Schizosaccharomyces pombe: one gene and its partner. The gene in region 2 interacts genetically with the main gene of each other region. Each region holds a gene or a part of one and is shown on either strand. Other genes may lie near its edges. The genes, in order: SPOM_SPBC15C4.06C and SPOM_SPAC27F1.05C.

Region 1 (3,933 bases), on a different chromosome or scaffold from region 2:
CTGAACAATAAGTATGAGTATGCGTATGCGTATAAAGACAAGCAAAATATTATAACGTAAATGAATGAGAGTCGAACAAAATATGCTAATATAGATTATAAAAAAAATTATCCTTATGAGTAGAAGTACAGGAATTACTCAACCAATGGAGAAAATTCATAAATATGCAGTTTAAACATTGTCCTCGGAAGCATTTTCCAACATGTTTGTAACTGACTGTTTACATAGGGGACAAAGATCCGAATTTTTTAATAAATAAGGATCAATGCAAGCCGGATGAAAGATGTGATGGCATGGCAGTTCTCGATAAAGAGGACTTTCTTCTGAATACTCACACAAGCAAATAGTACACTCCCTCTGATCGAAATACTTACTCCCTCTTTCGGCTGTAGTAACCACATTTCCCTGTCCATCAAAACTTTCTGATTTGTCTAATTTCCAATCCTTTTCATAAACCAACTCATCATTAGGATTGGCAAGATGAGGCCCCGAAAACATTCTAACGGGCAAAGTATCGAGCATTTCTTTAGTAACACGATTTTCTGGTTTGTTTGGTCCAATATTCACAATTCTTTCTTGAACAGGAATTCCATGACGATTTAAGAGTCTATAAAATCCATTCATTGCACCAGAAAAGTGAAGGCAAATAAAAAGGCCTATGACACCGATTAAACCCAATAACACACCAATGAATATATAGAGGCCAAGTAGCTTTGGTTCCTTGCTGATGATAACGCCCAAACGGGCCGTAGCATCAATGTTTCCAAAATATTCGACTAATGCTCCACCATCCTGCACCGAATTTAAAGAAGAAGCCGAGTATTCGTTGAGAATCTTTTCAAAAGCGATGCCGTTTTCGTAAGATATGAGTGCCATTGGTAATGTTTCAAAGGTAATCATATCTACAGCATCTTCAAAGTGGTCAAAATTGGTTAATGAATTACTAGCAGTGCTTGCATTATAAAATAGTATTGCCTTTGCTCTATCCTGGACAGCCTGCAATACATGCATTGGAGCACAATAGTCAAACGGCGCGAATGCGATTAAGCCAGAACTTCCCATATTAGAAACATCTCTAAACCATACGCTTCCCTTGGTATCAACTTGAAGTGACTCGGTGTCATTGCAGCTACCATAAGGAGTAGTTTTATATATAATTCCACGAAAATTATTCTTCAGTTTAGACAAGCTTTTGTAATACTCATTCAAAAGGACCGTGTTGTCAGAGTGGAAGTAAAATGAGACATTTTTTGGAAGATTTGAAACAACATTCTTGTTGTTTTTAACAATAAGAGTAGTTATGGTTAGCGGAAAGAACTGATTGTATTCGACAGCATTCATAATAATAGATGAATTTCCGTAATATGAAAGACCAGAGCTAACATAATTAGATATTGCAGTATTTGGAGCATTGCTGGAATAAGCAGGGTAATAATCATCATACAAGGAGATTGAACCAGAAGTAGAGGACGACCTTGCAGAACTAGTACTAGAATCTGAATAAGATTTGGGATTTGATTCACTGGAAACAGAATCCGAGTCTGATTCACTAGAACTGGACATAGAATCTGATTCATCATGACTAGATCTTGAAGAAGAAGTGTGTTCACTAGCATGCCCACTAGTATGGCCTCTTCTTAATGATCTAAATGAATAAGAGATTGGAGTTGGCGAGATACTTTCGTCCTTTGGCATTCGATATCGCCTTCTTTCATTCCATAGTTTACGAATTGCATTAAACAGCCGCTTTCTCCTCTTTACCTTATTCTCTTGTGAAACATAGCCTCTGTAAACTGCATTGCAATCCAGATGATCAAGCAACTGGTTATTACACAGATGCATAAGAACCTAAACAAACTTTAAGGCACGAAGAAACACAAAGAACTAGGAAACAGGAGGTTTCAAGATTACCAAAAAACAAACCTGCTTTGATACCAATCTTTCTAAATAATGAATCAAATTTAATGGTAATTGAAAGGTAAGCTTTCAATCAATAAACAGACGTTGAGTGGTGATATCTCTAAAGCAGGAATTGTGGAACACAATTAATGAAATTTTTTAAAGGAAATTTCAAAAAATTAGAAAGTAAAAAGTGTGATTCTTTTAACTTATACTAGCTCAAGCTTGAAAACCACAAATTGGTGGTGGCTAAGTAATGAACATCTTGAGACATATTGCGTACATAGTACACAATACATGTGATATACATGTGGAAAGCAATTGTTATTATATTTTCACTATGAGCAGTATACTTCAGTGAAGAAGTTTTTTAATGAAGGAAAAACTATGAAACAAACAAAGCATAAAGTGCAGGGCGAGAAAAACAATCGTGAAATAAAACAGCTTATTTGTGTTTGGTGATTCGACAAGCGCTTTAAACAGGTGTGAGAAACTAAATAATAATAAATGGTAATTATAAGAAATAAAAAAACGAAGAAGTGATACTTCAAAAAGGTAAGCATAGCTGGAGAATTAATGATCAGAGAGAACTATAATAAATAAATAAAAAAAGGATCGCTTAGCGATCAATTAAACAATAAGATATCCTCCTTAAACATAAGAAGCAATTTACTAGGAATACGTTATAGGATTTAATGTTGTTTGAGTATACTTTGTAAACTAGTATAAGGATATAATTATTGTGATATGCTACCTCGTAATTTAGTATAATTTTATGGAGTTCGTTTAGTACAGCGGTTACATATTTGTTTAAGAAGGCTAAGATATAATATACTATATAATTTTATATTTTACTGTATTAACTTACAACTGAACTAGGAAAGGGTAGTTTGTTCGGTTGAGATATTTCTTCAATAATTGTATTTTCCTAAAGATGTTTTACTCGTCCTGATCATTAAAGATCAGTAGTATGGATCCGACAGTTTTGAAATGAAAATAACAATAATTAGTAGTGATATCTAATGTAGCTTTGATCTGGCTTAGCAATACATTATTGGTAAAGTATGGGGAAATGGATTATGTAGTTTGTTATGAGAAATAAAAAATGTGCACCAAATTAATCTCAAATATCCTTTCTTTGCGTAGTAAATTTTTTTATTTGTTTTAAACACATATTAACTGGAAGTCATGTTTGCGCAAACTTTAAAATGCTCATCTCAGCAAATGAATAACATTGTAGTTTGAGAATAATAATTACTTTTGAATACATATGTTCAAGTCCAAGAAGGCTGCCATTCAACTCTAAACTGAACATTTGCTTATAGAAGCAAAAATTGTAGTAGATACCAACTTCGCTCCGAACTCTATATAATACCGATTTTAAACAACACTTTTTACCAGAAGTTAATTAATCTTATATATTAATTTCTATTATTCAACTAGCATTATTCCAAGAATTGGAATTATTTACTTTTCGATCTTAGCCCTTATATACGTAAATAACAATGCTACTTTACCACGAATACAGAATATAGTCCACCTCCACCATCCCTATTTTAGTTGGCCTAGTGGTTTCTTGAAACACTGGATTAAAGTATTAAAAGTTAAGTCCATAAGCTAGGGAAATAAATTTCCTATTATTTCCAATAAGTCGAACGATAAATCAAGGAACCACGGATTTGAATCAAGTTGCAGAAAGACATTCTTTGCTTTACAACATCGGTCAAATAAAGAAAGAATGAGTGACATTAACAATAATGAGCCAGCTGAAAATATTGAACAGCCCAAGCAAGAACCAGAAGATGGAAATAATTCGATGAGTGTTGATGAACAACCCGAAACGTCTTCCACAAATCTGCCAACTGGTGACAATCTCGCCCCAATGAGTGTAGAATCCCCTGCACATTTAAATAACGAGGATTCTCCCAAAAGCGATGATTCTAGAGAAAGGCATGGCTCGAATTATGTTATAGAACCGCATTTAGAATTGCGAGATATGGCCAAAGACAAAACACTTGAAAATTTCTTGGCCCA
Region 2 (3,933 bases):
TCAAGAACAAAGCTGAATTTCGTATAAGTTTTTCTTCTGTCATACATAGTAAATTAACAACTCCGTTTTATATATCTTTTTTAAAAAGTGAACGATTTGATTTAAAATAGTTCTATATAGTTTATATAATTTTACAATCGATGGTTTATCTCAAACGTTGCATGTAAGCAAGAAACAATATAAGGAGCATATAAAAGCTGAAACTAGATAAGAAGATAAAAAAATTAACATTTATGCCTGATGACCCAACTTTACTAAAAGCCTGAAAGGGCTAATGATAGATGAAACCAAAGTTTTAGGTTGACTTGGCTGCAACAGCTTCCTTAACCTTAGCATCAAACTTTGCAACAGCAGATTCAACGGCTGACAAACCTTCGTCTAAGTCGGCTTCTGGAATAGTTAAAGGAGGAAGGAAGCGGAAAACTGAAGGATTATTGAGTGAACAGTAGACTTGGACGTGATATGTATCGGCAAGGTCATTGACAATAGGAGTTGCATAGTATTCGCCGAATTCTTCTTGAACTGACTCAGGAATGGGATAAAATTCAATACCAACTATCATTCCTCGACCACGAACATCCTTCATAACATGAGGGAATTTTGTTTGAAGTTTATTAAGACGATCAAACATGATACCACCTAACTTGCGGCATCTAGAAAGAAGGTCGTTTTGCACGATATAATCGATGGTAGCAACACCGGCGGCAAGTCCAAGAGTGTTTTCTTGATAAGTGGCAGTGTGCAGAAAAGCCGTTTCAAGGGAATTGTAAGCAGCATTCCAAAGCTCCTCTGTAGCGATATACCCTGCAAATGGAATGAGTCCGCCTGAAAATCCTTTGGCGAAAGCGATACAATCCGGAATGATGTTTTCGTATTCACAGGCCCAGAATTTACCGGTACGACCACAACCGGTTTGAATTTCGTCTAAAACGAGATATGTATCGTACTTAGTGCAAAGTTCACGAGCCTTTGCAAGATAACCTGGAGGAGGGACAATAACACCACCTTCGCCTTGAATAGGCTCAACAATGAATGAACGGTACATACCAGAGGATAAGGCAACTTGAAGTGCTTCCGCATCACCGTAAGGGACGTAGTCAACGTCGAAAGGAGCAGGACTTTGATATTTTTGCCATTTTTCTTTGCCGCCTAAAAAGACGGCACCAGTGGTTTTACCATGGAAAGAGTTCAAAGTAGAAAGAAACTTTTTCTTGTTAGGCTTATAACGGGTAGCAAGGCGAATCAATTTAATAACTCCCTCATTAGCTTCAGCACCACCGGTTGCAGTCCATGTGCGAGTAAGTTTTTGACCAGGAGATAGCAAAGCCATATTGCGACCAAAGGCAGCTGCAAGGTTACGATAGGAAATGGCACCCATCATATATAACTTGGCATCAAAGCATTTCTGTAAGCAATCCCAAACATACTGATTGTTGTTACCGACCGTTACGACTCCAACGCCTCCAATTAAGTCCAGATGCTCAGTACCCTTTTCATCAACAAAACGAGAATTATCAGCTTTCACAAAATTGCGAGCGTGGCCATGGACAGTGCGTAACTTGTTTAAGTGGTCGAGTTGTAACTTGACAGTCGTTTCTGGGTCCATTTTCATGGCTTCGTCGAAGCACCACAAACCCTCAGGATAATTGCTGGCTGTTCCATTTTCGGAGGAGGCATCGGTTTTTGAACCATTTGTGTTAAGTTCAACCGTCTTTGAGGTAGCAGTAGCAGTGGACGTGGAATCAATCATGATAAGTGCGTAAATTTAACGTAAATAAACGAGCAGGAAAGATAGTTCTTAACTCAAAGCTTCTTAAATGTAATTTCCAAATGAATCTTTACAGTATATGGTTACCTTGTATAATCCACTCCTTAGATTGAAGAAAAGGTCGAATGAATGTTAACCTTTTACAATTGTTGGCATTCACAGGCAGCTTTAGCCTATATATATAGTAAAAATCATCAATGCCATATTCCTATGTACTTGACCGAAAAATGGCTATTACCTCTCTCACATCCCCCGATCAAAGTCGTACTGCCCAGATAGCAATTAGCGTACTACAGCCTTCGAGTTGGCCGACGGGCAGAACCGAGAAGAAGATATACTCTAATATTTGATCATTACAGAATTGGTCTCAATTATAAGAATTCAAGAAAAAATATCATGCAATGAAGTGTATTTAGTTCAAAAAAGCTTTGGCGCTAATAATAATGTTGGAGCAGAAACAAATGATTGCGCAGAACTATTTTACATAGGATAAAGTAAGCAAAAAAAAAATAATAATAATAATAATTAATTAAAAAGATTAGATTGAATCAAACTATGTGATTTAATTTATTGAAATAAAACTGGTGTTGATTGTGGATATCTATGTAATAAAGGTTACATGTTTTTTTTTTAATAATTTTTATTTATTTATGAATTAATTGGAAAATGTTTAAAAAAGGGCATTCAGCTGTGTCTGGATATTTAATTTTAAATATAAAATAAATATAGATATATTAAAACGATAAAAATGAAAATAATATTTGTCACTTGTCGTATACAGTCTTTAGGATAATAAATTGTAAAGCAAAAATAAATAAATAAATTATAAATTATAAAGGTCACAATAAGATATAAATGACAGCTTTCTGTCTGAATCAGTTTATCTAATAAATTCAAAATTAATAAAATGTATTAAATCATCTCATATTCATATAACGATCAGTTCTTTTGACCGTCGCGATAATACCGCCGAGCCTTAAATTTCCTAGAGATAGAAATTGAAATTTCATTCCTGCTATAATCTGTAACTCTCTACACACTGCGCATCTCGTAGATCTTGATATACTTTGAGATCCCCGTATTCGGCTCAGCTTTGTAATCTAAAGATACCGCGGAGTGAATGTTGGCCGAACTTGGTGTAGCCGAAAATGAAAGAGGAAATAAAGATGTGTCGCAAAGCCAACACAGTGATCTATCGTATTTGTTGGTATTGAATAGTCCGATCCAGTTTACAATGTTGATGCAAAAAGCCCAGGAAATGCAGTAAATACATAACTTGGAAAGTGATTATAAAATCGGAGAAAGAATTCATAGTGACTTATAAAAATAAAGACGTTCGGTATAGAACAAAGCATCTATTGATTCACTGTGATGTAAGGAACGTGTTTAAATGAATAATAAAAAAGCAGTTAACGATATAGCCAAATACAAAAGTTGAATCAAATAAGCTAATATTATATTTTTCGCACTTCTCGGTAAATGATATCGCCTCTGTCAATTTAAAGTAAAGTAAACTTAGACGAATTGAAAGCCAATAAGGAACCAGACACTTTGGTGCCTTTCCAGTTTGAGATTTGTACGGTATAAACGAATTGATGAGTTCCATCAGCGTGGATTTCAATAAAGCATACGCAGTAAACCATGGGTAGATCGATCCAGTTAATTGCATCCTACTATGTATAATTTCTTTTTTTATTCTAAATCAACTTGCAGTAGATAAAATACATGAGAGATATCGCGAAAACCAATTATGAAATCTCAATTAAAAAATTGAGGGAATAAGAGTATTTAGTAGCCTTCTTCATATAATAAATTCACAAATACAAAATTTTCTAGTGGCTCCACCAAATATCCGTAGATAACTAGTAGCGATTGTGCTTTCCCTCACTCATGTTTCAAGACAACGACTAATAAAAAAAGTGTTTTATTTATTCTGATGCCCATTATTGCTCACACATCTAATTCTATCATCAGTTTAAAAGAGTGCTCAAGATCCTCACCTTACTGCGACCAATTAGTTGTCTCAGTAACATACATATTTCTACTAGAGTGCTTACTTTACCTCAAAATAATTCGAATAATATTCAAAAAATTTGCTATTCCGTAATTTCCAGACCCAACTAAACCATAATTTTTTTATGAACCAAACTACACAAAATTAATTA

The links.
Region 1: mutations in SPOM_SPAC27F1.05C (region 2) and SPOM_SPBC15C4.06C together harm fitness less than expected from each alone (positive genetic interaction), as found in Schizosaccharomyces pombe (one large-scale study listed by BioGRID).

Annotation. Positions count from the first base shown.
Region 1 is NC_003423.3:2,251,565-2,255,497, forward strand, and holds the start of SPOM_SPBC15C4.06C (ubiquitin-protein ligase E3), read right to left. Parts: upstream 2,147-3,933; 5' UTR 1,843-2,146; coding exon 172-1,842; 3' UTR 1-171. Other genes in the region: SAGA complex/transcription factor TFIID complex subunit Taf10, read left to right, coding at 3,638-3,933.
Region 2 is NC_003424.3:4,323,357-4,327,289, forward strand, and holds SPOM_SPAC27F1.05C (aminotransferase), read right to left. Parts: upstream 1,920-3,933; 5' UTR 1,751-1,919; coding exon 296-1,750; 3' UTR 68-295; downstream 1-67. Other genes in the region: SPOM_SPAC27F1.10 (uncharacterized protein), read right to left, coding at 3,132-3,437; ani2 (FKBP-type peptidyl-prolyl cis-trans isomerase), read right to left, coding at 3,927-3,933.